Linked DNA regions of Xenopus tropicalis. The protein of the gene in region 7 interacts with the protein of the main gene of each other region in a biochemical or structural test. Links are inferred from orthologs where the notes say so. Each region holds a gene or a part of one and is shown on either strand. Other genes may lie near its edges.

What was found.
Region 1: of the proteins of cdk2 (region 7) and h1-0, one has a biochemical effect on the other in vitro, tested with the Homo sapiens proteins (11 studies listed by BioGRID and IntAct). The link is inferred for Xenopus tropicalis from reciprocal best matches to the Homo sapiens genes CDK2 and H1-0.
Region 2: of the proteins of cdk2 (region 7) and ppp2ca, one has a biochemical effect on the other in vitro, tested with the Homo sapiens proteins (2 studies listed by BioGRID). The link is inferred for Xenopus tropicalis from reciprocal best matches to the Homo sapiens genes CDK2 and PPP2CA.
Region 3: of the proteins of cdk2 (region 7) and id2, one has a biochemical effect on the other in vitro, tested with the Homo sapiens proteins (2 studies listed by BioGRID). The link is inferred for Xenopus tropicalis from reciprocal best matches to the Homo sapiens genes CDK2 and ID2.
Region 4: of the proteins of cdk2 (region 7) and poll, one has a biochemical effect on the other in vitro, tested with the Homo sapiens proteins (2 studies listed by BioGRID). The link is inferred for Xenopus tropicalis from reciprocal best matches to the Homo sapiens genes CDK2 and POLL.
Region 5: of the proteins of cdk2 (region 7) and rbl1, one has a biochemical effect on the other in vitro, tested with the Homo sapiens proteins (5 studies listed by BioGRID, with this or other methods). The link is inferred for Xenopus tropicalis from reciprocal best matches to the Homo sapiens genes CDK2 and RBL1.
Region 6: of the proteins of cdk2 (region 7) and wee1, one has a biochemical effect on the other in vitro, tested with the Homo sapiens proteins (3 studies listed by BioGRID, with this or other methods). The link is inferred for Xenopus tropicalis from reciprocal best matches to the Homo sapiens genes CDK2 and WEE1.

Annotation. Positions count from the first base shown.
Region 1 is NC_030680.2:122,560,656-122,564,803, forward strand, and holds h1-0 (histone H1.0), read right to left. Parts: upstream 2,757-4,148; 5' UTR 2,320-2,756; coding exon 1,729-2,319; 3' UTR 649-1,728; downstream 1-648. UniProt on the Homo sapiens protein: Histones H1 are necessary for the condensation of nucleosome chains into higher-order structures. The histones H1.0 are found in cells that are in terminal stages of differentiation or that have low rates of cell division.
Region 2 is NC_030679.2:26,542,959-26,547,344, reverse strand, and holds the start of ppp2ca (serine/threonine-protein phosphatase 2A catalytic subunit alpha isoform), read right to left. Parts: upstream 2,888-4,386; 5' UTR 2,590-2,887; coding exon 2,488-2,589; intron 1-2,487. UniProt on the Homo sapiens protein: Catalytic subunit of protein phosphatase 2A (PP2A), a serine/threonine phosphatase involved in the regulation of a wide variety of enzymes, signal transduction pathways, and cellular events.
Region 3 is NC_030681.2:137,437,211-137,441,341, forward strand, and holds the start of id2 (DNA-binding protein inhibitor ID-2), read left to right. Parts: upstream 1-1,230; 5' UTR 1,231-1,328; coding exon 1,329-1,673; intron 1,674-2,602; coding exon 2,603-2,656; 3' UTR 2,657-2,660; intron 2,661-4,131. UniProt on the Homo sapiens protein: Transcriptional regulator (lacking a basic DNA binding domain) which negatively regulates the basic helix-loop-helix (bHLH) transcription factors by forming heterodimers and inhibiting their DNA binding and transcriptional activity.
Region 4 is NC_030683.2:30,778,650-30,782,884, forward strand, and holds the start of poll (DNA polymerase lambda), read right to left. Parts: upstream 2,850-4,235; 5' UTR 2,820-2,849; intron 2,415-2,819; exon of another isoform or gene 2,020-2,414; intron 1,029-2,019; 5' UTR 921-1,028; intron 1-920. Other genes in the region: protein DPCD, read left to right, coding at 3,132-3,195.
Region 5 is NC_030686.2:42,366,237-42,369,934, reverse strand, and holds part of rbl1 (retinoblastoma-like protein 1), read right to left. Parts: intron 3,346-3,698; coding exon 3,197-3,345; intron 3,100-3,196; coding exon 3,050-3,099; intron 2,314-3,049; coding exon 2,127-2,313; intron 1,281-2,126; coding exon 1,001-1,280; intron 831-1,000; coding exon 727-830; intron 330-726; coding exon 192-329; intron 23-191; coding exon 1-22. UniProt on the Homo sapiens protein: Key regulator of entry into cell division. Directly involved in heterochromatin formation by maintaining overall chromatin structure and, in particular, that of constitutive heterochromatin by stabilizing histone methylation.
Region 6 is NC_030680.2:7,008,085-7,012,306, reverse strand, and holds the start of wee1 (wee1-like protein kinase), read right to left. Parts: upstream 2,855-4,222; 5' UTR 2,491-2,854; coding exon 2,452-2,490; intron 1-2,451. UniProt on the Homo sapiens protein: Acts as a negative regulator of entry into mitosis (G2 to M transition) by protecting the nucleus from cytoplasmically activated cyclin B1-complexed CDK1 before the onset of mitosis by mediating phosphorylation of CDK1 on 'Tyr-15'.
Region 7 is NC_030678.2:137,886,368-137,890,549, reverse strand, and holds the start of cdk2 (cyclin-dependent kinase 2), read left to right. Parts: upstream 1-1,234; 5' UTR 1,235-1,310; coding exon 1,311-1,426; intron 1,427-4,182. UniProt on the Homo sapiens protein: Serine/threonine-protein kinase involved in the control of the cell cycle; essential for meiosis, but dispensable for mitosis. Phosphorylates CABLES1, CTNNB1, CDK2AP2, ERCC6, NBN, USP37, p53/TP53, NPM1, CDK7, RB1, BRCA2, MYC, NPAT, EZH2.

The DNA.
Region 1 (4,148 bases), on a different chromosome or scaffold from region 7:
AAAACTGCTGTGAAAATGAATTGAGCAGCACGTCAACAAAATCAAGACATGAGGTTATTCATAGCAATACTTGCACCCAAGGGGTTAAGCTGTCAACGTGGCAATATAAGCAGAAGCAAACCCTTCTGTGTGTTGCAGGCATCTTTATAAGACACCAGTAAAATACAGTCTCATGGAAGTTAACATATTTTTCTGTATACGCTGGAAAAGAACAAAGAAAAGAATCTTCTTACATGTGCAACAAGGTCCTGAGGTTTCCAGCAGCGATACTTTATTGCAGTGAACTGTCTCTTTAATGTAATGCAAATTATCGTCTATACTTTATATAAACCTATTTTTGATAAGCCTGTTTAATCTCTCCCACAATAGAAATCCCTTAATATTAAGAACAGGACATTGCAGAACTACATCTCCCAATATCCCTTGACTTGAGCTACTGAACGCATGCTGGAGATTTCACTGTTTTGAGGTCCAATCACTTTCCTGCTTAGTTATTCTAATAAACTATATTAACCAAAAAGTATTATATAGCAGTTTCAAACAAATAACCTCATCAACCAAACAAATTCAAAACACAACCTTCTGAAACTAAAATATTAAGAGTTAAAGAATGATTTTGCAGTGAAATAAGCAAAAAAGACAGAGATACACGTTTTGGCAATTTTATTTTCAAAGTCATGATTACAAAGGATTAATCCTAATCTACAAAGCAAAACACATGAATAAAATATTTCTATTTGTATTTCATGGCCACTTGTCACTTGCTCGATTAGTTCTCACCGATACAGAAATAAATGTTATGGTTCACTGCTTACTGACCATTTTCAGCACAAATGATACTGAAAAGGATTAGCTGCACCATTCACAGTACGTGAACGACGCCTAATACCCTCAAAGCTTGGTTGACAAGTACAAATACAGTCTTCAGTTGGAAGATATTTGTATATCTTAATAGCTAATCATTTCTCCATAGAGAGAACATTTAAAATGTTGCTGAAAAGGTATCAAAATCTTCTAGGCATTGCACTTGCTGCTGCATAAGTACAGTTAGTAAATCATTCCTGAACAAACGTTTGTATGTTTAAAAAAAAAAAAAAAATGGATCTCGTGTGAATATATGAAGAGTTCAAACTTACAGGGGGGTGATCCATTGCCTGTCCAGCAAAAAAGTGCTCTAGTCTACTGCTGACTCATTCCTACAAATAAAAAAACTACAAAAATATCAGTAGACAATAACCAAACTAATTGTACTATGAATCATATTTAAACTACCATTTAAATATTAAGTTATAAGCAACATTTTAGGGTCAAGATCGTCTGATTTCTGACAATAATGTAGCACAATCACACCGAACAATATTTAAAGATATCATTATTCCCATTTAAGAACAGGTAGATTAATAATAATTAAGCCAAGCTCTGTGCAATGATATCGTTAAAGCTTGTCCTAAAATGGCTAGGAAACACAAAATCATTGAAAATGTTAAGCCCAGTTTGATAACTTCTTCCTTGGGAAAAAAATTCCTACATTTTAACACCAAAATAATAAAAAAAAATGAAGCAGTTAAATCTTGCTTAATTCCCCTAGTGCAGGCAAAGTCAAATACACAAATTTGTCTTGGGAATTGCAGGGAAGCTGATCATCATTATAAAGTTGCACTGGAAAAAGTGAAGGTTATAAAACTATGTACACAAGTTGTTAGGAGCTGTCCAGAGACTGCAGGAGCTTTACTTCTTCCGTCCAGATTTCTTTGGGCTGGCTTTTGCCTTTGGTTTGGAGGGCTTGGCCTTCTTTACTCTGGATGCCCTCACTGGCTTGGCTTTGACAGTTTTTGTCTTTTTGGCTTTTTTAGGAGAAGGTGCAGGCTTTTTCTTAGCTGGTTTCTTTACTTTCTTCTCTGCCACTTTAGGTTTCTTGGCCTTGGCAGGAGACTTTGCAGCTTTTTTGGGCTTAGCAGCTTTTTTGGGTGAAGCTGCTTTTTTAATTTCCTTTTTAGGCTTCTTGGCTGGCTTCTTGCCCTCATCTGCCTTGGCTAGCCGGAAAGATCCAGAGGCACCCACTCCTTTGGTCTGTTTGAGGGTGCCAGAAGTCACCAGTCTCTTAATAGACAGTTTGATTTGCGAGTCTGCATTCTCTCCAACTTTATAGTGGTTTTTGATGTACTTCTGGATTGACTGACGCGATGAACCAGAACGACTCTTCTCTGCTTGCACTGCAGCCAATATCATGTCAGAATACTTAGGGTGGTCAGTTGCTTTCTTTGATGCCTTTGATCGCTTGGGCTTGCCAGCTGGAGCAGCAGCTGAATTCTCTGTCATGTTTAACCTTCACTACAGGTGTAGGCTTAAGAATGAAACTAGTGGTGCAGCAGGAGGTATTTGCCAAGATAAGTCTTTCCTGGGCAACCTGTAGCCAAGGTGCAAGAGATGCTTGATACTCAGGCTAGAATCCAATGGCCAATAAGAGCCCTGGAACAAAGTTCTCGGAAATAAACTGTAGTGACCTTTCCAAATCCAGTCTCTCCTCCCACTGAAGTTCTCCAAATTCTTTATTGTTTAATTGTTTTTTTCTGCCCCAGGTATTATGAGTTTGCACCTGTTTTCTTGTCAGTTGCGCATATGTTGTAGTATAAATGTCAAGCCCTGGCAATGGCTTCTCTGTAAGCTTCCCTTCAGTGAAGGATCCCGTCCCTTGTGCGCCCTGTTAGCTGTGCGGAGCTATTGTAGCTCGGTGCCAGCCGCACTCGCTCTCCTCAGCACCTTCCCTCCCTGTGTTTGCCCCTCCCGCCGGTTCCCGCCTTTTATTTGCTGGGGTCGGACCGAGTTGAGGACTAGCGGCTGCGGGCGGGATGAGGCAGACATGGCGCCGCTCCGCAACTATCTGTGTTTCTTCCCGAACACAAAGTGGCCATTCCCTGAGCCCCTGTAAGCGCTGAGGCCGCCCTGGCTATAGGCTCTGGAAGCTCAGTCTCTGGTGTGTAAAGCCTCGGCTTCTCTCAGTTGCAGGAGCCCCTGAAGGCTGCGGGAGAGCCCCGAAACCAGCCGAGCTATTGCACAAATCACACACATTTCGTCCTTTGTGCCCCCCGAGTGCCGGCCCCTGGGGCCCCCATGTGGGCGAGAGTCGGGCAGGGGGTGGCTGCATCCCTGATCTTTAGCTGGGCGTCGGAAAGTCTCCGCTGAGCCCACTCCTGCCCTAACTGGGGTGCCCAAAAGCTACCCCAACTAACACAGGGATCTCCGAGCTTAGTATGTCCATCAGGGAGAGGTGGGAGGATCTGGAGCCCTCCTGGGGGACCCGGCAACAGCATGGGGGGTCCCCCCTAACCGTGTGGCAGTGGCACCCCCAATTTCCCTATTTCTGCCCATTACACTGATACTTTGCAAATTATTAACGAAACTTTTCAGCTCACTTTTGTCTGCTGTTTCATGGCTCCATTGACTGTGCTGGGAGCAGGAGTTCAGAAGAGGGGAACAAAGGGGGGCCCTAATGATAATTGTACGTGCTAATGCCCCCCAAAACCTACCCAGAAACGTATTAACCCGTGATTTGCCAAATATCTCGCTTTCTGCCAGCAACTTCAGCCGCCATATGAAATGTATCAGAGTTGTTTACTTGGCTGGCACTGCTGATGGAAAAGCTGTGTTGGCTCTGGGTTGTAGCACCCACAATGCACCCCAGATCCACTGGGCAGGATCCACTGACCTTACCCAACACATTCATTGTAACAATACAGAATAAACCCGTTTATGTTTCAGGGGGTTACGTGTAATAATACTTGTAATTGTTACTATTGTGGCTCTCCTAGGCTTGTGGGGTGCAAATGGAAGTTACATTCGCCCCAGTCAATAGTGACAGCAGAGCCCCCAAACCTTTAGCCATTTCTATTTAGAGCGGATATCACATTTATATAAGTGCTTCTTCCATAATATCAGCAGGTATCCTGTTACACAAACTGTCAGGGTGTAACACCCCCAACATTTCAACGGGGGTCAGAAGAGGACAAGCCACATTGTGTGTGCTACTTAGTGTAACAGCTTGCTGCGCTGCTATAGGCACCCAGGTGCTGCTGGGATCCCTGCTATGTCCTGGGTGCTATTTAACCCCTTCCTGTGCCACTTGTGCGTATTGCTAAGTACTTGACACG
Region 2 (4,386 bases), on a different chromosome or scaffold from region 7:
TCTAGACAGCACTAACAGGCTTACCCAGTTATTCATCATTAATTTGGCCTCTGCCCTTATGACGCTTTATCGTCCTAGTTGCTTATTTATTAAAACCACCGTTTTATATTTTAAAGTTACTTGTAAATGTAATGGAGAAGCATGTGTATCCATTCATGCAGACAATGAAAGAGAAACTATATTTAAATTTAATAACAATTGCAGTTAAAAAAAAATAAAACCACTAAAAGCTGCAATTTATGTATATTTGAAAGCGGTTTATAGTTATTTTATATTTCATAGTAAAGTTTCTTACATGAAGATATCCTTTTAATTAAGGAATTGCGAGTATGGAGGCCCATTAATCCTGCCCCATATCCATGTACTATGCATAGTCTGTCAGTTTTTAGCTAGAGAAGGCTTGAAAAAGAAAGAGTTGCAGCTACATTTGCTTGAATAACCGTCACGTGATGAGAAAAGAAAAGATTGCTTTATGTGGAAAACAGTGACAAACACTTATTATTGCCTTTCCCGTGGTGCAGTGGTAGAGACTTCTCTAAGCAATGCAGCTGCATTGTACATCCCAGGCAGGCAGATCTTTCTGCACACTACACAACACTGTTGTAAATCTGCGAATAGACATGACTTTTGGACAGAGGGGGATTTAATTAAGCTGATGGAGGTAAAAGCAGCACTGCCCATACAGTCAATAAGCCACACTTCTCCACAGAAAGGGTCTACTTTGAGCTTCTCTGTCCCTTTGCCAATACTGTGCATCCCTAGTACCAAATGGACCATGCCGGCAAAAAGCAATCACAGGTTATTGGCCAGCTAACAATGGATTTCTCACAGCATGCCTATAAGTAGCCTCTCTGTATCCCAGCTGTAACACCAATTGGTTTGGCTGCATTTTTCTACTTAAGCAACAGCTGAAAGGCCCACATGAACAACCCGCTTCTTGTACAGCCTTAAAAATGGCTGGCATAGAGCAGAAAATGAATGTGAGCTCAAAAAAGGCTCATAGGAGCAGAATCAAACTTTAAGAATCCTTTGATAGACACTTCAGCCTTAAGTTTATAGTCCTGGCACTAAGAAAATTGACTTTTATTTATAGATTTCTGAACAATTCTAAAATATTTGTATGCACTTCCTAGCAGTGCTGTTTTCATAAAATTGCACGTTTTACATGAGCTTCGGAGATTCTTGGCAAAGTTGCCATACCTTGTACATAATTTACCAGAGTGAGTAACTGTGTGGCCCGCCCTATTAGATGCAGCTAGCTACAACTATGGCCATGGAAAACACACTGGAGCATGATTGCACCACAATATTGGCCAATGTACTCAATCACTGTCCTGCGGCCCAACATCAGCTGAATCTGGTACTAACCGCAGCTAGCTACATCAGGAGGGACCACAAGGGACAACATCATTCTTATAATCCCTGGGCGTAAATAGAAAAACATCAAAAAGCATACCACCGCCAACCCTGTGAACTCCTTTTAGATTGCAAGCTCTATTGGGCAGGGCCCTCTTTACCTCTTGTGTCAGTGATTGGCTGCTTTGTATGTAAATCTGCATGTTTGATATATATACCTATTTATTGTACTGCCACTTATATGTGATTATAAATAGAAAGCTCTGCATCTATTCATTTTAATGAGAGATGTTCAAATGAATGTTACCTAGCTCAGTGGCTGGCCAACCTATACAGCAGCACACAAGGAATTCCCACCACTCTTTTGGACTGTGGCATCTCCACCAACACATTTTCCCAACAAGCCATAGATCAGGATTACGTTAGCCCGTGGTTCTGGCAGAATATGGCCTTACTTTACTACAAGGAGCCGTAAAGCACAACGTTCACTGTACCAAGAATCCCCATGACCCCTGCATTCCCTGTAACATTCCAAGCAAATGGGAGCGCGCCGCCGGCCGAGGCGCGCACTAGTAGTGACACGTCCTGGCGTGCATGCGCATTCCTGCGGGGGGTGGAGCAGCCGCCATCTTATGAACGACAAAAGGCGCCATGAGCTTAGCAGCCCGAGCCTGCGCCCACAGAGCCTCTCGCCGGGAGTGGGACGTGCCGAGTGCAGCTCACACATGGGCGCTGCTGTACAGCAAACACTACAGATACTATAGCCCCTGTACGCTAGCCCCCCGGTGTCCGTAACACGCCTTCCCACATATATTAGGGCGATAGACATATATAGTACGTTTCATGTGTCTACCAACCAGCCTACATGTTGTATAAAGTGTATAGCAACCCGTAATAGCGAAAGATACGGCCTCCATACGGAATAATGCGTTCCCCAATACGGAATAATGATCTCCCCCGCAAGACCTACGTGCGCTCCATGTTACTGCCCACAAACCGATATGACGTTAGGAACTACCTACTACTATTGATGGCTGTAGCTCCACAGCAGGCTAATATATATGTATAGTTCTAAAATAATCACGGCTGCTACCAGCAGTCTATTTAAAGTTGCCATTGCGCCACCCGTACCTTCTCGCACAGAGTCTTGACCTGGTTCTCCGATAGCTGCTTGCACTCATTCAGCTGCTCGATCCACTGATCCAACTCCTTCGTGAACGCCTTTTCATCCATGGCTGTCTAAGGAAAAGACCGGCGGCCTAGGGAGGCAGTCACCGGGTATGCCCTCGGAGGGACCAAGAGCCAATGAATGGCGTCAGAAAACCAACAAGTCGACCGCTGCTGGCAGGGGTGGGGACCGTCAGTTGAATAAAATACGGAACCCAGGGGAGTGCCGGGATCTCAGGCGACAGTATCTAAACGGACACAGTCCAGAGGGCTTCAAAGCGCCTCGTAAGAGGTACAGAGCTAGTAGAGGTAATAAAGAAATAACGTTATCAGACAGTCCGCTGTAATTTTGCAGCTACGGCTCCTTCTTTCTCAGAGTGTACTGTACAGTATAATGGCCGCCGTGACGTCACGAACCTCTCCTTTATGGCTCCACACCTCCTCCTCAGCCAGTTCCTTTGCTTCTTCGCCGTACGTCACTTCCTAGAGATGTCATCGGAAGCTGCGCTCATCCCCACGCCCTTATGGATCCGAGTCTAGTCGCATGGGCGTGGCGATAAATGATAGCGCTCAAGTGCAGTCATTGAGAGAAAAGCCTGGAGGGTGGATGGTTTATTGCAGGCCCAGTGACACACACAGACAAAATCGAAGCAATAGCTATTGATTTAATTATTATATATTATAATCATATTCTTAGGTCTCTATACCAGGGGTCGGGAACCTTATTGACTGAGAGAGCCATAAACACCACATATTTTAAAATGTAATTCCGTGAGAGCCATACAATGGCCAACGGGAGCTAGGCCGAAGGCCGCGGATGCTGTGGGGCAAGGTAGGGTGGGTGTCATCTTTAGCTGTTCAATATGGCTTGTTAGTGGTATAACTAGAGGGCTACCTAGCACAGTGCACAGTTGGCTTCTCTTTGTAGCCCCAACAGAGACATACTGGTCACATTTTATTTTCAATTCAAGCGTGACAGGTTTCTGCTCCAATGTCCCTCTCCGTTCCCTGGGCCCTGGTTCAAGTGCAACCTGGTAAGGATGCCGGACGCGGAGGAGGGCGTGGCCTGCGCTTGGCGGATAGAAGATGTGTTCTAAGGCATAGAACATGTCTTCTATCCGCTAAGCGCAGGCCACGCTCCACATTATTTTTTTTTATTAAAGATTTGGCAGGGAGCCAGATGCAGCCATCAAGAGCCACATCTGGCTCCCGAGCCGTAGGTTCCCTACCCCTGCTCTATACAATTAAAGCGTTTCTTTCTTCCAAATCTGCAAACAAAGCGTTGCGTTGTTAATTGACTAATAATTTCATATCTAGAGGAATCAAACCTATTTTGCAAGTAAAAATAATACAACTCATTTGGAAAGCCTGATATCGACACAGTGTAGGGTATTTTACGGTAAAATACCAGTAAGGTGGTAACCTGACTAGAGTGTGTATAGTTTTATGGGGTTTCCTTATGTGTATGTGTTAAACATCTACTACACCAATGATTCTCAAGCTTCCTAATGCCGCGACCCTTTCATACAGTTCCTCATGTTGTGGTGACCCCCAACCATAAAATTATTCCTAGGACCATTTGAAATGTGTGTTTTCCGATGGTCTTGGCGACCCCTGTGAAATAGTCCCGACCCACAGGTTGAGAACCACTGACCTACAGTAAAGTGAATTTTCAAAGCACCAGAAATCAGCATACTAGATTGCAAGACAAAAATGCCTGGGTCAGTAAACTTACCAGAGAAAAAACATTTTTAAAAAGTTTACATTCAGATGAACTCAAAATAGGTAAATATGGGCAAATACATCATTTTTACACCTATATGCTTGTTTTTATTATTACTCCAAACTTCAAATCTTTGCTAC
Region 3 (4,131 bases), on a different chromosome or scaffold from region 7:
TGGATTCAGATTAACCTCACAGAGTGCAGGAAAATAAAGCAGTCTCTTCTCCTGCGTGGGGAGCCTTGATGTGCCTCTGGTAGAGTGCAAGCTCTTCTGAGCAGGGGCCTCTCCCTTCTGCCATTGCTTTGTTTCCTGTTGCATTGTTGACACCTGAGGCGCCGACTTCAAGGAAAATAAACAGTATCATTAAAACAGTATTGTTAAAACTAGCTGCTGCTGAACTACAATTCCCAGAATCCCCCCACAATCAGGATGGCCGATTACACAAGAGAGCTCCAGAATGTAGCTGTCCAGCTGTTGCTGAATACTAACTCCCAACATGCTTAGACAGACTGCATCCAGGAAGCTGTAGGTCAACAACAGTCTCAGTTAAAGCCCCCATTACAGACAATTCCAATACATTGTATAGGATCATTGCAATGATCTGACCAGTCAGTCTACCCAGCCCAATGGCCATTCCATATTTCTCACACCCATGAAAAATCACCATATTCTACAGCGCTGTATATTGAATGTTCAGATCAGTCTCTCCATGGCCACCTTTACATTTCTTGCAAGTATGTGCCAGTGTTATCTGGTTGGCACTGCCATACAAACAAACAATATGGGTTAGACATTCCTTTGCACAGCCAGATTATTCTATGCAGCTTCAACAGGAGGAAGTTGAACATATTTAGAAAGAAGCTTCTTTTCTTCCTCTTGTAAATAATACTGAAAACTGTGCCAATGCCCAAACACCCATCCCTAAAATCAACTCCCTTGCACCCCTGGTCACAGCACCTTAGTTGCACAGCTATAGCCATACCTGCAGCATCACTATCACCTAATTCTTCCACTGTCCAAAGAGGATGCTGGGAGTTGTATTCAGCAACAGCTGGAGGATGTGACAGTCGTGTCCCTGTTACAGAATGAAAGTGGTTCTGCAGCAGCAGAGGCAGTGGCTTGCTGGCATCTGACCCTCTGCCCTGGTGGCCCCAGCCAAATCATTGCACCCAGCGGGACATTCCTACCCTGTGCCAAGCGTTGGAAGCTGCAATTTACCAGCACAGCTGGGATGAAAAAGCCACGCCTCCAGCCACCGCTCATTGGTTGAGAATGCGGAAGAGACTTGGGATTCAGTGCAAAGTCTTTAAGCCAATCGGGAGGCAGGGAGTCCGCCTACTTGTCAGTGGCTGCTCTGGGCACTATATAAAGCGGAGGGAAACGCGGCGGGACTCATTCTGAGCGGATTAGGAGAGGCGTACGGCGTTAGCTGGTTGTGCTGCGGTTATATTAGAGTGTGTGTGTGCGCGGTGGGAGCGATCCATTCCTACCTAAACGGTACCATGAAAGCATTCAGCCCAGTAAGGTCTGTCCGAAAAAGCAGCCTAACGGAACACAGCCTGGGCATAGCTCGGAGCAAAACGCCAGTGGATGACCCGATGAGCCTCTTGTACAATATGAATGATTGTTACTCTAAGCTGAAGGAACTGGTGCCCAGTATTCCCCAGAACAAGAAGGTCAGCAAGATGGAGATCCTCCAGCACGTCATCGACTATATCCTGGACCTGCAGCTCGCCCTGGATTCCCACCCCAGCATTGTCAGTCTCCATCATGCCCGGGTGGGGGGCAGCACGTCCCGGACCCCCCTGACCGCCCTAAACACAGACATCAGCATCCTGTCACTGCAGGTAAGGGGCACCCTAAAGCCGTCATACCCATTGCCCACCTAGGCTTACCCATTGCCCACCTAGGCTTACCCATTGCCCACCTAGCTTACCCATTGCCCACCTAGGCTTACCCATTGCCCACCTATGCTTACCCATTGCCCACCTAGACTTACCCATTGCCCACCTAGGCTTACCCATTGCCCACCTATACTTACCCTTTGCCCACCCAGACTTACCCATTGCCCACCTAGGCTTACCCATTGCCCACCTAGGCTTACCCATTGCCCACCTAGGCTTACCCCTTGCCCACCTAGGCTTACCCCTTGCCCACCTAGGCTTACCCCTTGCCCACCTAGGCTTACCCCTTGCCCACCTAGGCTTACCCCTTGCCCACCCTTGCTAACCCTTTGCCCACCTATGCTAACCCATTGCCCACCTAGGCTTGCCTACAGCTGTCATACCTGTCATTAGAGCCATAATACCTGTATATCATGCCCACCATTATAACTCCCTGTTCATACCCACCATCATACCTTTATATCAACACCCACTGCCCCCACAATGCCTTCCCTTCTCCTACATACTTACTGCTCCCAATATCCCTCCCATAGCCCCCAAATCTGCTCACCCTTCCCCCCCCCCCATACTCGCTGCCCCTAATGCCACACATTCCCGGAGCGTCTAAAGTTGGCGCCCTGTGCCCCCTGGAAATGCCTCCCCTTCTCACGAATGTAATTACGGTAAGGGATGCCATTCTCTCTGCCAGTCCATGCCTGTTGGTAGCCGTGAGTAAGTGCTCTAAGCCCTTATTAGCCATGCTCTTTGCCCAACTTTACCCCCACTCCAATCAAGATCTACTATACCTTACCCTGAACTTACGGCCCTGCCTGCCCCTTCCCATTCCGTGCCCCCTGGCACTGCCCGTACTCATGTGCCCTCTCTCCTTCCAGGCGGCTGAATTATCGGCAGAGTTCACAGACGAGAGCAAATCCCTTTGTCCTTAAAATGGTGAGTTAAGTACTTTAATTAAGTGAAGGGGGGGATGGTTGTTACTTAGTGGGGTGCCAGGCTGCTAGCTGGTATTATACGGGCCTTGGCACTTATGTACCAATGTCTGTAGTAGCGGCTGAACTGCTCCTCTGTGGCTGTCAGGAGCTGTTAGTTATAGTTCAGGAGCTGTGTTAGTTATAGTTCAGGAGCTGTGTTAGTTATAGTTCAGGAGCTGTGTTAGTTATAGTTCAGGAGCTGTGTTAGTTATAGTTCAGGAGCTGTGTTAGTTATAGTTCAGGAGCTGTGTTAGTTATAGTTCAGGAGCTGTGTTAGTTATAGTTCAGGAGCTGTGTTAGTTATAGTTCAGGAGCTGTGTTAGTTATAGTTCAGGAGCTGTGTTAGTTATAGTTCAGGAGCTGTGTTAGTTATAGTTCAGGAGCTGTGTTAGTTATAGTTCAGGAGCTGTGTTAGTTATAGTTCAGGAGCTGTGTTAGTTTTAGTTCAGGAGCTGGAGGGTCGGCACTCGGGTAAAAGTTCTGAATGTACAGCGCTGTCAGCTCTGCAGGCAAGTGAGGGCAAAGCACCGCAAGCCCCTATAACTTTGCTATCTGAATGGGTGTGTGTGAGCCCCATGCCAGGGTACAGAGTTGGGTGTGTGTGAGCCCCATGCCGGGGTATAGAGGTAGGTGTGTGTGTGTGTGTGTGTGTGTGAGTGTGAGCCCCATGCAGGGTTATAGAGGTGTGTGTGAGCCCCATGTAGGGGTATAGAGGTAGGTGTGTGTGAGCCCCATGTAGGGGTACAGAGTTGGGTGTGTGTGAGCCCCATGACGGGGTATAGAGGTAGGTGAGTGTGTGTGAGCCCCATGCAGGGTTATAGAGGTGTGTGTGTGTGAGCCCCATGCAGGGGTATAGAGGTGTGTGTGTGTGTGTGAGCCCCATGCAGGGGTATAGAGGTGTGTGTGTGTGTGTGAGCCCCATGCAGGGGTATAGAGGTGTGTGTGTGTGAGCCCCATGTAGGGGTATAGAGGTGTGAGTATGAGCCCCATGTCGGGGTATAGAGGTGTGTGTGTGTGTGTGAGTCCCATGCCAGGGTATAGAGGTGTGTGTGAGCCCCATGTAGGGGTATAGAGGTGTGAGTATGAGCCCCATGTCGGGGTATAGAGGTGTGTGTGTGTGTGAGTCCCATGCCAGGGTATAGAGGTGTGTGTGTGTGAGCCCCATGTAGGGGTATAGAGGTGTGAGTGTGAGCCCCATGTCGGGGTATAGAGGTGTGTATGTGTGTGAGTCCCATGCCAGGGTATAGAGGTGTGCGTCCCATGCCGGGGTATAGAGGTGTGAGTCCCATGCCGGGGTATAGAGGTGTGTGTGTGTGTGTGTGTGTGTGTGTGTGTGAGCGTGTGTGAGCCCCATGCCGGGGTATAGAGTTGGGTGTGTGTGAGCCCCATTCCGGGGTATAGAGTTGGGTGTGTGTGAGCCCCATGCCGGGGTA
Region 4 (4,235 bases), on a different chromosome or scaffold from region 7:
TCACAGGGAAATAGTTTTTTAGTAACTGATCCTCATCCAATAGCTGGAAAAAGGTATAAAAAGGGAGGCAAATTATTAAAATACTATAAAAACCACAGCATGCTAAAAGTTAATCCATTTTCTCCCATTACACAAAAGAACACATACTGCTAGTAGGAGGAAGAAACTGCTATTTCATTTAGTAAAAGCAACCTATCATTTGCCCCTGAAATTCCCACACAATTAAATCTCAGTTTAGCATTTTCCTGCTTGTCAATGAGCCCAAAGAGACCAATATGCCCCCTGGAATAGTAACAGTTCATTTTGGATATGAAAAATATCATAAAGTCTTGTTTTATTAAAGGAAAACTAAAGCTTAACTAAAGAGGTAGGCTAGAAATGTTGTACATTATGTTTTTTGCTTCTGTACCAGCCCAAGGCACCCACAGCCCTTTAGCAAAGAAGATATGTGCCACTGAAGATGCCCCAGTAGCCCCCAATCTTCTGCTGATTCCCTGCACATGCTCTGTGCTGCTGTCACCTACCTGAGCTTAGGGACCGATTGACATTATACTGTATATACTATATATATATATATATGATATAAATGTCACAATATAAGGCTGATTAGTAATTAACACAGATGATCTGAAACTCTGAAACCATCAGCCCATTAATTTTGGACGACCCCTAAGCTTAGCTTCTCAACAGCTGCCCAGAGTGCACTGAGCATGTGCAGTGTCGCAGACACTTCTAACAGAAGTGTCCAGTATGGCCACCCCCTGTGACAACTTTAAAGGACTGGATTATTACTACTACAGAGATGTTGAACATTTAGGCTGGTTCAATACGTTCTTTATATAAAATATGGCATGTCTGGCCATATTCATTTTTAGGGTTTAGTTCTTTTTTAAAAGCAATACTGTATGAGTAGTACTTACAAGGAAAACCTCTTGCAAAGTTAGTGTCTCCTCAGTGTCTCCTTCAGACTAGCGTTTAAGCAAAATTAAGGGCAATTTGGCAAGAGTGCAGTCAAGTAGCTTCAATTCCTATGGTAAAACAAAAACATTATTTTGGTTATATATTCATTATTATATTTATTACCTGTCATTCATATGAAGAGTTGGGTGTAACCTACAATTTTACCAGATCCAACTAACATTTTATCATCTGAATTTACATTCACTAAAGCAAGAACTGCCAACTCTTCTTTTAAAAGTGGATATGGAATAGAAATCCTGTATGGTTTTCTAATAATTACAGCAGCAGACTGAACTACTTATAGTGCAACCAGGCAATCTGCATGTAAATTTACTCTGAAACATGTGTTATATTAAATTTGTGTTGCGGGTTCCCAGTCTGTACACTATGGGGCTGATTTACTAATCCACGAACGTCCGAAAAGCGTCTGAATGTGTTTTTTTCGTAATGATCTGTATTTTGCGACTTTTTCGATCGCTCAATACGAAAAAGTTGCGACAATTCGCAAAAGTCGTAAAGGCTATGAAAAAGTCACGACAATTCACTAAAGTCATAATGGCTATGAAAAAGTCGCGACAATTCACGAAAGTCATAATGGCTATGAAAAAGTCGCGACAATTCACGAAAGTCATAATGGCTATGAAAAAGTCACGACAATTCACGAAAGTCATAATGGCTATGAAAAAGTTGCGACAATTCACAAAAGTCATAATGGCTATGAAAAAGACGCGACAATTCACGAAATTTGTAATGGCTATAATAAAGTCGCGACAATTCGCGCAAGTCATAACGGTTACGAAAAAGTCGCGACAATTTACGAAAAAAATCACAAAAAATACGAAAAAGTCGCAAAATGTTAGTTTTCCAATCCGAATTTTTCTCATTCGGATTCGTGGATTAGTAAATCAGCCCCTATATGTGGCTTTAACTCGCAGACTGGGGTTACCTGATGATGGGATTTCCAGCCAAAACTATCAACCCGGGCAGAGTCATTAAGAAAGGACTGTGTTTCTATGTAGCATCTGCCTGATGGGAGTTTCCTGCCAGAAATATCATTACCTGGCCAAACCCTGAGTAGATACAGGTAGGGAGATCATCGCTTTTGCCCTGTGCATCGGCCATTAGGCTGCAGACTGCCAAGAGAGGCAGAGTTGGCTTACAATATCAACCCACATATGGCCAGCTTACTGGCAATGGCACAGAGAGACTGGCAGTGGGGAGGCAGTAAAACTCACAATTGCCCTCTACTTTTTTTTATGGTATCGTCTGGACTGGTGATTACTGTTAACCCCAATGGGAGGCATTTCTTGACCTCCCATTGACCAATAAAGTCAATGGAGCTTTTTCCACCAAAGGGAATCTCCCCATTGCCCTCAGAGTCAGTGGGCTTATATATAGGAACCAGTGGCTAGGGTTACCACAAAATGAACCCAGGGCTGCTAAATCAATCTTTTCGTCCTTCTAGTAAAATTGGCATTATTCCCCCACCCTACCCTACCCCACCCCACCCCACCCCAAGCAATAAACAGTAGCAAATAATATAAGTACACTTAATAACAGACCATTGTGATTGCCTAATGTTCTGCTATACAAACAGCTACACTAAGGAAGGTAATCAATACTTTCTCTTATGGAACCCAAACCCTAAGTAACAGTACGGTTTAATGTGTGATTATGTGTTATTTTCTTTCCCCAGCAGCTCTCCAGCCATCTCGGAGGGAGATGTAGTTCCACGATTCTATATATCACTGCTATAGATCACTGCGCCCAAATAGTTACATGGAAAATACACACACAGCGCCCCAAACAGAGAAACAAACAGTAACTTATCGCTTTGTCCCCCCCTCACATTCACTTACTAGAGTTCAACACCACATCTATAAACATACACGGACATTTAATTAGGTCACTTCCGTATCCGGATGACTCGGAAGTGGTCACCGGAGTCCATTGCTTAATGAGCCCGATAATAAGAGAATATATAATATCCCGTTACAGCAGTAGCTTTGTAGAGACGTTTTATATTTTGGGATAGGTATGTTGATAGGTTTTGTGTACACGTTACAAGGCAGTCCGCTGCGTTACTATGGCAACTCAGGTCGGTTTGCCTAAGAGGCCGGCAAGCTTTGGGTTGCTATAGTAACTCGGCCCCGCGTGTGACAGGTTCCAAGATGGCGCTTCCAAGCTGGCTGGAGAGTCTGAAGGCTGCGCAGAAAACGTGCATTTTACAGGATGGTGAGTGTTCTTGTGGGAACGCAGTCACATCGGCTTGGGCTTTAATGCTGTGAGAAAGATATAGAGCTAACGTTAACCATATTCATTCATTCAACCTCCTCAATAACCAAATCCCATGCTTTATTTGTATAGCGCCTACACAGATTATATTCAATACACTGCCCTGGTGGAGTTTAAAATCTTAGGCCATAAACATGTAAACTATGTCCAGCCAGTAGCCTGGTAAAGCTGAACAAACTCGCAGGGGAACTGCTGAACTGATAACTGAGGATACATAAGCAGAAATTCAGGAGGGCTGTGATTGGCTATTTGGTAGCCCCTATGTGGGCTGGCAGCCAAGAGAAGGCTCTGTGTGGCTTTACACTGGGTTTTTATGCAACCAAAACTTGCCTCCAAGTCAATAATTCAAAAATAAGCCCCTGCTTTGAGGCCACTGGGAGTAACACCCATGTTGCTCACAGGACACTGGCTGGGGATAAGGTTTTAGACCAAATTGTTAGGTTCTGTCAGTTAATAGTCCCATAACCAAAGATGATTTACAACAGGACCTGCAGGTTTAGTTCAATAAAGGACAACTAATCCCATGCATAATAACAAGCATATAACAAACAAGTCTCATATTTGATCTCCCCCCAATCAAATCCTTCTATTCTTACCTAGGGGCTTAATGTCTCATTTTTTTTTTTTAGTTTAGGGCGAGGTCACACAAAGCGCATACCCACTTCTCTCAATCCTGCGTTTTTTCGGCCAGGCTGAGAGAAGCGGATCTGCTTTCTTGTGCTTCTCTGTGTGCCTGCATTAAAGGTTATGGCAACTGCCTGAGTGTGGGCACACGGGAAAAAAACCCAAAAGCATAGGGAAGCAGATCTGCTTCTCTCAGCCTGTTTGAAAAACGTAGGGTTGAGAGAAGGATATATACACTTAGGGGCTGATTTACTAACCCACGAATCCGACCCGAATTGGAAAAGTTCCGACTTGAAAACGAACATTTTGCGACTTTTTCCTATGTTTTGCGATTTTTTCGGATTCTGTACGAATTT
Region 5 (3,698 bases), on a different chromosome or scaffold from region 7:
AACGAATAAACACTTCTATTACCTAAAAGGGATTAAGGTTGGAAATAAAAGTGTCACGGGAAGGAATTGTGGGGGACTTCCCACCCCAATAACCATCCAAGAGTTCAACTTAATTTTCCATTTGACGCAAGTAGAAAACATGCACTTTTAATATTTAGTTTTATTCAGCTGTGGTGTTTTCCAGAACTTACTTTGTAGAAGTAGAAAGCACTCAGATTAAGTACTTCAATGGTCCAGGGGAAGGTTCTGGGAGAACTGTAAGCAAATAGCACAATTTCCAGACAGCAGGCAATCAGTGACTGATGAAAGATGTCCTGCTCTAGTAGAGCCTGAAAAAAATAAAGGGAGAATACAATGAGACACTGGAAATAAGCAGCCATTGGCTAGATTATAAAATCCAATAAGAATCCAGCTACCCCGTATTATCTGAGCGTCACAATATGTACTTAATTTGAAGCCACAGGTATCCTTATGTTTTTAAAACACTTTTAAAATGACATGTAAATTATATTTCACTGTGGGGCAGGGGCAAAATGTTAGGATAGATTGCCAAGTATTTTTCCCTTGGCCAGGGCCAAAATGTAGTATATTGTGCAGGGGTAATGGCAAAAGAATGAAGCTCTTATGATAAAAGATGCCAGGGCAATGTGCTGGGAGTATTTTTCTCATGGGCCGGTGCCTGTGGATCTCGTTAAGACAATCCCAATGAGATCTTTTATTTCTTACCGTCAAATCTTTCCCATGAAGTCTCTTGCTTTCCTGGACAACTATGGTCTCTAGTACTTTAAAGTACAAAATTTCAGCCAGTTTCCACCGATTGACTGCAAAATCTTAAAAAAAAAAAAAAAAAAAAAAAAAAAAAAGCGTGACAAATTTCACATTTGAGCAAAAATTAATTAGCTTACACAAACACAACAAATAATGTAGGTATATGAAAAATTATTGCCCATAAATTTGACTAAAAGCTATAATGAAACAAATGATCTGTATGGATTCTTACCAATATGAGACCCAGGCTGGTCTTCTGTGGATTGTGTATAGTGATGGCAGAATCGACGTCCGATATCTCGGACAATATTCAATACATTCTCTAATGGGTTTCTAACACAGGACTTGAAAACTTCGATCAGCTGCTCACTTGGAGCATTTCTGAGCCCTGCCACCATGCTCTGTAACCTGCTCACACACTGTGTTGCCGATGAAACAGGCGTGATTACAGTTGGCTCCTCCTTCAGGTAACCTCTACCAGTCAGAGGAGTGGATGGTGCAAAAGACCTTTTCTGCAAAATGAAGTGAAAGATTCCAAGTGTTATATTGCTGCGACCATAGACAGGTGTAACAGAAATCTCCCCCTAACTGGCCTTCAGGCTGGGCCCCCTTAGCTCATAACAAGGTTACAGATATATAGAAACATTGGGGTAACAGTCACCCCGCTATAGTTCCAGGGGTACCCAGGGCACAAATAAGCACTCACCCCAAATCCCCCCCTAACTGGCCTTCAGGCTGAGCCCCCTTAGCCCATAACAAGGCTACAGATATATAGAAACATTGGGGTAACAGTCACCCTGCTATAGTTCCAGGGGTACCCAGGGCACAAATAATCACTCACCCCAAATCCCACCCTAACTGGCCTTCAGGCTGGGCCCCCTTAGCCCATAACAAGGTTACAGATATATAGAAACATTGGGGTAACAGTCACCCTGCTATAGTTCCAGGGGTACCCAGGGCACAAATAAGCACTCACCCCAAATCCCCCCCTATCTGGCCTTCAGGCTGGGCCCCCTTAGCCCATAACAAGGTTACAGATATATAGAAACATTGGGGTAACAGTCACCCCGCTATAGTTCCAGGGGTACCCAGGGCACAAATAAGCACTCACCCCAAATCCCCCCCTAACTGGCCTTCAGGCTGGGCCCCCTTAGCCCATAACAAGGTTACAGATATATAGAAACATTGGGGTAACAGTCACCCTGCTGTAGTTCCAGGGGTACCCAGGGCACAAATAATCACTCAAGCCAAACCTAACCTTAATTAACCCTTTAGGATTGACCCCCTTAACTCAAAAGAACAGTGGATATTTTTAGAAGTAATGATTTTTCATTGTGGAACCATTTAGCCAATGTTACCCTCTCAAAATGTTGCTGCAGGTTGCTTTCCATTTGTTTCCGTGGAGTGCAGATTCCCATGGGAAATTCCACAACAAATTTTCTGGGACTTCCAATCTCCTCTTCTGCATCTACACCCAGAAACACCCTCTCATCAAAGTCTCCCTTAGTAAGGACGTACTCTTCATACTCCTTATTTAAGGATTTACTGTGGGAAAGAAGGGATACAATTCGTTTATAGAAAGTTTATTTGATCATCTCAGTCCAAAAGGTTTTATTACAAATTACTGCAAGGAAATAACATACAAATTCTTACATCAGTACTCCAGAGATCTGGCTGCCCACAAATAGGGCAATTTTGTTTAGTCAGTTTAGGGTGGCGAATAATGCAAAATCACCCAGAGAGACAGGTCCCACCCGCAAACATAGCAGTTAACCAATCTGAATGACTACAGTCCAATATGGCAGCACTAGATCAGAAGAGTAGCGGTATGGCTAACCAATCTGGTTAAATACAATAGTGCCTCTCCAAACTGATTGTGCACCATGCCCCCTGGAGGTTATGGTCCCCCATACACCTTAAGATCCACTCGCTTGGCGATGTTGTCAAGCGAGCGGATCTTCTCCTGATATCCCCCACCTACGGGTGGGTGATATCAGTAGAATCCAGGCTAATTCTATCGAACTATAACGACGGGTATAGGCAAAGTCAGTCCGGGAACCGCATCAACAAGCCGATGTGGTCCCCGATCAGACTAGATTTTTAACCTGCCCGATCGATATCTGGCCGATTTCAGGCCAGATATTGGTCGGGCAGGCCCGTCGGTAGTCCCCATACACGGGCCGATTAGCTGCCGAATCTGTCTAAGGGACCCATATCGACAGCTAGAATTGGCCCGTGTATGGGGACCTTTACACTACAACTTAAAAGATAAATTACTCACTTGTTATCTGTGAAACTAGATACATCCAATAAGCAGGCTCCTTTTAAAATCTGTAAAAAAAAAAAAAGACAATTAATCAAGATAAAATAAGTCATTTAGTAATGAGCTTTATTTACAGTGCAGTAGGATGGGCGTCTGTTTAGTTACCTTTTTATCATAAAGCTTTGATATGTATGGCTTGAAGTAATGCTCTTTTATCCCCTTGGCTTCCACAAATATTCCATCGTACAGCTCACACAGTGCTCTAATGATACACGGGGCATCCTCTGAGCTGGGGTCAAGGGCAGGGAGCTTTGCTGGAGAGGCACAGAGGAATTCAGCATCATACAAAGTGGCAGCAGTTCATGAACCTCAATTCTACCCCTCACCTCCATGTTAAACAAGCAGCAAATGTTCCCGTGTAAGCCACCGACATGGGTGGCAATGAGTAAATCCCTCAGAATAATGGTTTTCTAAGGGCTAAGCTACACAGGAGATTTGGATCAGATTTTGCGATCTGGTCGTTCAACACCACACAACAGCACAAGATTCTGTACCAAATCTGATCTCCATAATTTGTAATTTAAGTCGGATCGTGAGTCTTGTTGGAGTCATGGAGTTTAGCCTTAAATCCTTTTCAATTTTACACCCACTGAAAACTAAGGCAATA
Region 6 (4,222 bases), on a different chromosome or scaffold from region 7:
ATGTAACATTCCTTCACTGTCACCCCCGTATGTAACATTCCTCACTGTCACCCCCCATTCTGCCCCTGTATGTAACATTCCTCACTGTCACCCCCCATTCTGCCCCTGTATGTAACATTCCTTCACTGTCTCCCCCCATTCTGCCCCTGTATGTAACATTCCTTTACTTAAACCCCCGTATGTAACATTCCTTCACTGTCACCCCCTGTATGTAACATTCCTTCACTGTCTCCCCCTGTATGTAACATTCCTTCACTGTCTCCCCCTGTATGTAACATTCCTTCACTGTCACCCCCCGTATGTAACATTCCTTTACTTAAACCCCTGTATGTAACATTCCTTTACTGTCACCCCCTGTATGTAACATTCCTTCACTGTCACCCCCCGTATGTAACATTCCTTTACTTAAACCCCCGTATGTAACATTCCTTCACTGTCACCCCCGTATGTAACATTCCTTCACTGTCACCCCCTGTATGTAACATTCCTTTACTTAAACCCCCGTATGTAACATTCCTTCACTGTCACCCCCGTATGTAACATTCCTTCACTGTCACCCCCCGTATGTAACATTCCTTTACTTAAACCCCCGTATGTAACATTCCTTCACTGTCACCCCCGTATGTAACATTCCTTCACTGTCACCCCCTGTATGTAACATTCCTTCACTGTCACCCCCTGTATGTAACATTCCTTCACTGTCTCCCCCTGTATGTAACATTCCTTCACCGTATGTAACATTCCTTTACTTAAACCCCCGTATGTAACATTCCTTCACTGTCACCCCCGTATGTAACATTCCTTCACTGTCACCCCCTGTATGTAACATTCCTTTACTTAAACCCCTGTATGTAACATTCCTTTACTGTCACCCCCGTATGTAACATTCCTTCACTGTCACCCCCGTATGTAGCATTCCTTCACTGTCACCCCCGTATGTAACATTCCTTCACTGTCACCCCCGTATGTAACATTCCTTCACTGTCACCCCCTGTATGTAACATTCCTTTACTTAAACCCCTGTATGTAACATTCCTTTACTGTCACCCCCTATGTAACATTCCTTCACTGTCACCCCCTGTATGTAACATTCCTTCACTGTCACCCCCATATGTAACATTCCTTCACTGTCTCCCCCTGTATGTAACATTCCTTCACTGTCTCCCCCTGTATGTAACATTCCTTTACTGTCACCCCCGTATGTAACATTCCTTCACTGTCACCCCCGTATGTAACATTCCTTTACTGTCACCCCCTGTATGTAACATTCCTTTACTTAAACCCCTGTATGTAACATTCCTTCACTGTCACCCCCGTATGTAACATTCCTTCACTGTCACCCCCTGTATGTAACATTCCTTCACTGTCTCCCCCTGTATGTAACATTCCTTTACTGTCACCCCCGTATGTAACATTCCTTCACTGTCACCCCCTGTATGTAACATTCCTTCACTGTCACCCCCTGTATGTAACATTCCTTTACTGTCACCCCCTGTATGTAACATTCCTTTACTTAAACCCCTGTATGTAACATTCCTTCACTGTCACCCCCTGTATGTAACATTCCTTCACTGTCACCCCCGTATGTAACATTCCTTCACTGTCACCCCCGTATGTAACATTCCTTTACTGTCACCCCCTGTATGTAACATTCCTTTACTGTCACCCCCTGTATGTAACATTCCTTCACTGTCACCCCCTGTATGTAACATTCCTTCACTGTCACCCCCTGTATGTAACATTCCTTCACTGTCACCCCCGTATGTAACATTCCTTCACTGTCACCCCCTGTGTGTAACATTCCTTCACTGTCACCCCCTGTGTGTAACATTCCTTCACTGTCACCCCCTGTGTGTAACATTCCTTCACTGTCACCCCCTGTGTGTAACATTCCTTCACTGTCACCCCCTGTATGTAACATTCCTTCACTGTCACCCCCTGTGTGTAACATTCCTTCACTGTCACCCCCTGTGTGTAACATTCCTTCACTGTCACCCCCTGTGTGTAACATTCCTTTACTGACACCCCCTGTATGTAACATTCCTTTACTGACACCCCCCTGTATGTAACATTCCTTCACTGTCACCCCCTGTGTGTAACATTCCTTCACTGTCACCCCCTGTGTGTAACATTCCTTCACTGTCACCCCCTGTGTGTAACATTCCTTTACTGACACCCCCTGTATGTAACATTCCTTTACTGACACCCCCCTGTATGTAACATTCCTTCACTGTCACCCCCTGTATGTAACATTCCTTTACTGACACCCCCCTGTATGTAACATTCCTTCACTGTCACCCCCTGTATGTAACATTCCTTTACTGACACCCCCCTGTATGTAACATTCCTTCACTGTCACCCCCTGTATGTAACATTTCCTACACTATATACACACACACACACACACACACACACACAATATCCAGCCCCTATAATGTCTCGCACACTTACCTTTTGTGGTTCATCGGTGACACCATTAGGGAACCCCATTGCGTTGCCCTGATAGCCCCTCTTCTCCCTTAGTTGGCAGGACGTGGGGGGGATTTATGGAAGAGTCTGATAGGTGGGTCCGAGTAAGATAACAATGGGATCCTGCGGTTCCCCCTATAATAAGCTGGGTTCCTGGGGTAATTGATTCCAGCCAGTCCGTTATATCTCTGTAAATCCCAATAAAGAAAGGCAGTAGCCCCTGATCCCGGCAGCAGCTGAATGATCTGCCCCAAGTCTCCGGCTCTTGTCCCCGGACACAAATGCCTGTTGGTTCCACCTGGGATCCTGCTAAAAACCAACAACTTGGGACACAAAGTGACAGCCCCCAGCAGCTGCTCCTCCGGTGGCCAGTGATCAGCAGACACCTAGCCACGGGCTAATTGAACTTGGAGAGAATCAATGGGATCCCTAAATCCACTTACTAGTTCGTTACAGGGAGCAGACACACCCTATAGGTAGAATTATATTAAAGCCCCTGCCCCACACTTATGTCATTAGCCACAGTCTGACTCAGCATAATACCCATTCATAATCCTTCACAATATCTGCCCCACAAAGCCACCCTTTGCCTCTAGGGTGGGATGCACCAGAACCTTATAAGGCTGCCCCTGCTGGTAAATTAATGGTTTGGTCCATTTGGTGCTTGCACATACACCGGGCAACCAGGTTGGCCAATTTGTATATGGGAGACCATCATGATTATTGGGGTTAATTAAACTCATGTCTGAGTCATTGTGGAATTAAATGTAACACAGTGCCATCTCATTAGCAATTTCCGGCCCAAAGGCCATTTAATTGGATTGGGTCAACTTGGCCACCTATGGGTGCTGATGGTAATGGAAAGGCTTAGCCAGGGTTGTTGGGTGCCAGTGCTTCTCTGGCATGGATAGCTCATCACTGATTAATAACCCCCAGCAAGTTATACCAGCACTTCTGAATAAACAGTAAGATCAGCCTGCCTTGCCACAAGAGCTTGCACTCTAGCATTAAAGCTACATTTTATCATATTGCCAATTAGTTATTTATGTCAATATATTTCATAGAATCTACAAAAAGCAATGCAATGTTAAATGGGATAAAAAGTCACATAAATTGAACATCCTAAATTATGTTACATGGTAACAGTGGAGACTGCATTGTGATTGGCCAGATCTTACTTCCTATTTTATATCTCATCCACAGTAATGTGTTAATGTCAACTGGGACACTGGCCTGGGATGGGTTTGGTAGCACTAGGTAGGTACCTAATATATAGGGGCAGAGACAGGGGAAAGTGTTGGAAGGGTTACTGCCTGCCCTGCTCTCATTTCCCTACAGAAATAGGGGTTGGTAGCACTAGGTAGGTACCTAATATATAGGGGCAGAGACAGGGGAAAGTGTTGGAAGGGTTACTGCCTGCCCTGCTCTCATTTCCCTACAGAAATAGGGGTTGGTAGCACTAGGTAGGTACCTAATATATAGGGGCAGAGACAGGGGAAAGTGTTGGAAGGGTTACTGCCTGCCCTGCTCTCATTTCCCTACAGAAATAGGGGTTGGTAGCACTAGGTAGGTACCTAATATATAGGGGCAGAGACAGGGGAAAGAGTTGGAAGGGTTACTGCCTGCCCTGCTCTCATTTCCCTACAGAAATAGGGGTTGGTAGCACTAGGTAGGTCCCTAATATATAGGGGCAGAGACAGGGGAAAGAGTTGGAAGGGTTACTGCCTGCCCTGCTCTCATTTCCCTACAGAAA
Region 7 (4,182 bases):
TCCTGCTGCTTGCTCCATCCTCATACAGCCCACTCCTGCTGCCTACTCCCTGCTACATCCTCCCGATCACCCCCACCGTGTCCTCCCGTCACTGCGATAAGGAAGACAGGTAATAGCCAGGGGTGAGGACGCAGCGAGGGCCAGGTAAATTACCTTTGGGGGCAGGATCCGGCCTGTGGCCGTAGTTTGAGGATCCCTGGTCTACAGGCTGTATAACAACAAATTCTGGCCTCTCAAATAAATAAATTGGCTCAGGTAGTTAAGCTTTTAATTTAACAATTACCATGTGGCTATCATTTTGTATGTATATCTTTATTTATAAAGCGCTACTTATGTACGCAGTGCTGTACAGTAGAATACATTAATACAAACAGGGTGTTAATAAGATAATAAATACAAAGTATAATAATAAATACAGATAAATACAGCAGCAATAAGTTAAGAGTTGAGGACACGAGAGGAAGGAGGTCCCTGCCCCGTAGAGCTTACAATCTATATGGGAGGGTAACTAACAGACACAAATAGGCAAATATAAGTGCTGTAGGTCACAGTGGGTGACACTACAATATAAGTTTTAACACAGCTCACAAAAAAGCCTAATTGTGTTACAGTTTTAAATACATACTCGCCGTGTACATTCTAAAATGAATGTCACAGACCTCCTATCCACAACATCCCTTGCAATAGGCTTAAAGCTATTGTCTAGCGCAGTGATCCCCAACCAACGGCCCAGGAGTAACATGTTGCTCCCCAACCCCTTGGATGTTGCTCTCAGTGGCCCTAAAGCAGGTGCTTATTTTTAAATTCCTGGCTTAGAAGCAAGTTTTGGTTGGGTAAAACCAGATGTACTGCCACCTGTAGGCTGCCAGTCCACATAGGGGCTACCAAATAGCCAATCATACTCCTTATTTGGCACCCCAGGTACATTTCCATGCTTGTGTTGCTCCTCAATTCTTTATAAATTTGAATGTGGCTCATGGGTTAAAAAGGTTGGGGGTCCCTGGTCTAGCGGTTAAAGTCAATTTATGTTTCAAATCTGCAACTAACAAAGTGCATAAGTGCGTAACAACACACTCAACTACCCGGGAAAACAAGAAAAGGCGGCTTAAGGCACACTGACGTCACAAGATGTCCCAGAGGAGAGCGGGAGTAGAAGGCATTTACCCAATAAGAAATTCGGGGGCGTGGCCTACTAGTGGCGGGAAGTTTTGTGGAGGCAGCTTTGTAGGGATCCCGGAAGTTCGTCCTGTTATTGAGTCCGATTTGGTTCCAATTTGTGGGACTGAATTTTACAGTAGTGGCGGGGGGCCATGGAGAATTTCCAGAAGGTGGAGAAGATCGGGGAGGGCACGTACGGGGTGGTGTACAAAGCGCGGAACCGAGAGACCGGGGAGATTGTGGCTCTGAAAAAGATTCGCTTGGACACGTGAGTCGCCCCGGGGGCAGAAGTTGTGTTGTTTCCCCAGGAGCTGGGGCTGGGGCTGGGGCTGGGGCTGGGGGGATGTGCCGGGGATCCGGAGTTTGGGAGTAAGGAACATTACACAGCATGAAGGGGGAGCCAGCAGGGCAGGTGTGATGGCTGTGTAAATGGGGACGTGTCAGGGGTGTCCCAGGGAACATATGTGACATTATGTGACATAAGCAGCTAATAATTAGCCCATAGCAGCCAGTGCCTGACTAGTGCAGAGGGATAGTATTGGGCAGGGATTGTAGGTAAACATGAGTGTGATTATCTATAGAACCATGACATTTCCTACTGCAGCAGAAGGAAACAATCAGCAGATACAGTATGGCAGAGCCCAGTGGGAAATACAACACAAGGGCAATATGAATAATAATGGTCACCCAAGTGATGGTACATGGGTCCTGGCCCACAGTCCACCACTGTTATGTTCCAGAATGTTTTATTGTTCAACAACCTCCATTATTACAATCATGTTTAAAGCACCAACATATTCTACAATATTGACACACTGACAAACTGGTACATTGGGTGCAATGAGGCTCTGGCCATACACAGGTTTTAAGGTGAACTCCACCTAGATCAGTGGTTCCCAACCTCCCTAATGCCACAACCCTTTAATACAGCTCCTCATGTTGTGTTGACCCCCAACCATAGAGGAGCGGTGTCTCGTTTCGACCACTAAAGGGGTCCCGACCCACAGGTTGAGAACCGCAGACCTAGACACAACTTAAAATTGTGGAAAACTAAACTTAATTTCAAGCAACTTTGCAATATACATCAATTATAAAACATGCAGCCCTTTTATGATTTTTAATGTAATATGGTTTGGAACAGTTCCCTAAGCCTGGCCCTATGTTCTTCTGCTGATCTGGCTGACTACTTTGGGATTCAAAAAAATGTAACAAGTCAACTGTCCTCACTCCAAATCCCACAATTCCCTGCACATGTGATGTCAATAAGGAAAGGAATATGAGGATTTTGGGTTTTGTAGATTGCATGCTGTCTGTAAGCTGTGGGGAAGTTTTTACAGTTTGCAACATCAATAAAGAGAAGAACTGTTTTGAAGCTGGATTTCAGCATTTAACAAAATGGTATTTATTCATACATTGATACATATATCACCCTGCTGGGTGTGTATTATAAGAAACATATATCCAAAAACCATGAAGTTGGTCCATCCTCTGCTGCTATAATATATAATAGTCTTCTGGTAAGGCTTTGCATTTGATGTTGAAATTGACCTTCAACGGAATTTCTAGGATTCACTTCCGTTGAGCTACAAGGGTATTAATGAGGTTGGGCGCTGAAGCTGGGTGATCAGACCTGGCTCACAGCAAGTGTCCAACTCATTCCAACACTTTTACAGTTAGGAGAGGAAGAAGTTGCATAGAGCCCTAACCTTAACCTATCTCAGCAAATGATTGATCACTATCTGATTATTTAATGTACACACTGTTCTCTTGATGGAAAACATGATTGCTGTAATTGTGATGATATTGTTGATTGCATTGTAATAACTTCCTTCAATCTACTGCTATGACAGTGTCAAACAGAAATGGTTGAAGGTTTTATTGCAACTGCAGCTGTCCTTTTGCTTTAAGCATTCCATGTAGTCTCTGGGTGCCTTTTCCTGGCTCAGACACTTAAGCAGCGTGTGATTGATAATAAGAGTCTTTTCTAACTTGTGACTGAAGCATCTGTCAGAATGAGGTTATATGGTATGAAAGCTACTGTATCAAACCTAAGGGTACTGGCACATGAGGTGAGATAAGTCATAAACGATAAATTTGTGCTACCTTAGGCTACTAATCTCCCCAAAATGCTTTCCAATCGGCAATAATGTAGATCGTCAATGGGAAAATGTATGCTGTACTTTGTTTTTCTGGACTGGAAAAACAAAGCACCACACATGTTTTCCCAGCAGTTATTATGGTCACAGTGCAAGGAATTCCTTCCGTAGTCAGTCAGTCACAAGTTAGAACAGCTTAATCGGAAGTGTCAGAAGGTGTTCCACCAAGAATCTTAAGGTGTCCATATGCCATCGGATCTGATTGTTTAGGAAGGTTGTCAAAGCAGCAGATCTTTCCAGCTAATGCGAGTGGAGTAATGAAATTACAGCGATGGCAATAGGAACCATTGGACTGAGGACTGCATCAATGAACCAATGCACTCCCCACTCTGACAAGAAAATGAAACCTGCCTGATTGACATCTGGCCAATTTTAGGCCAGATATTGGTCGGAGAGGCCTGTCAGCTGCTGCATTGGTCTGAAGGATAATTCTCAATAACCATGTAGCAGTTAGTGATTCCAGATGATTGTCACTCAAATTAATAGGAGTGATTTGCACCATTTATCAACTTTGAGAAAAACCCTCCAGAATTGTTACATTTACCAGTGCCTTTAATCTAATTAATTGTACTCCCAGTTAGAAACTTTCCTGTGCTTCCCAACATTCACATGCAAACACGTTCTTTGGTACAATTCATTGCGCTGTAATATATTTTATATTTTATCTGGCGCAAGTAAACAAATTGTTTTTCTGCCTGTGTAAACTAGATACTGTTTAAAGCAAATGAAAAATTTCATTTTTTTCTATGACTTGTTTTTAGTTAAAGATAGCAATTACAAATACACTTTTGCTTGAACATTCAAGGAGTTTTTATGTTTTGTATTGGTTTGTCAGTTTGTAATGATTATATTTAGGCTGCAGCGAGGG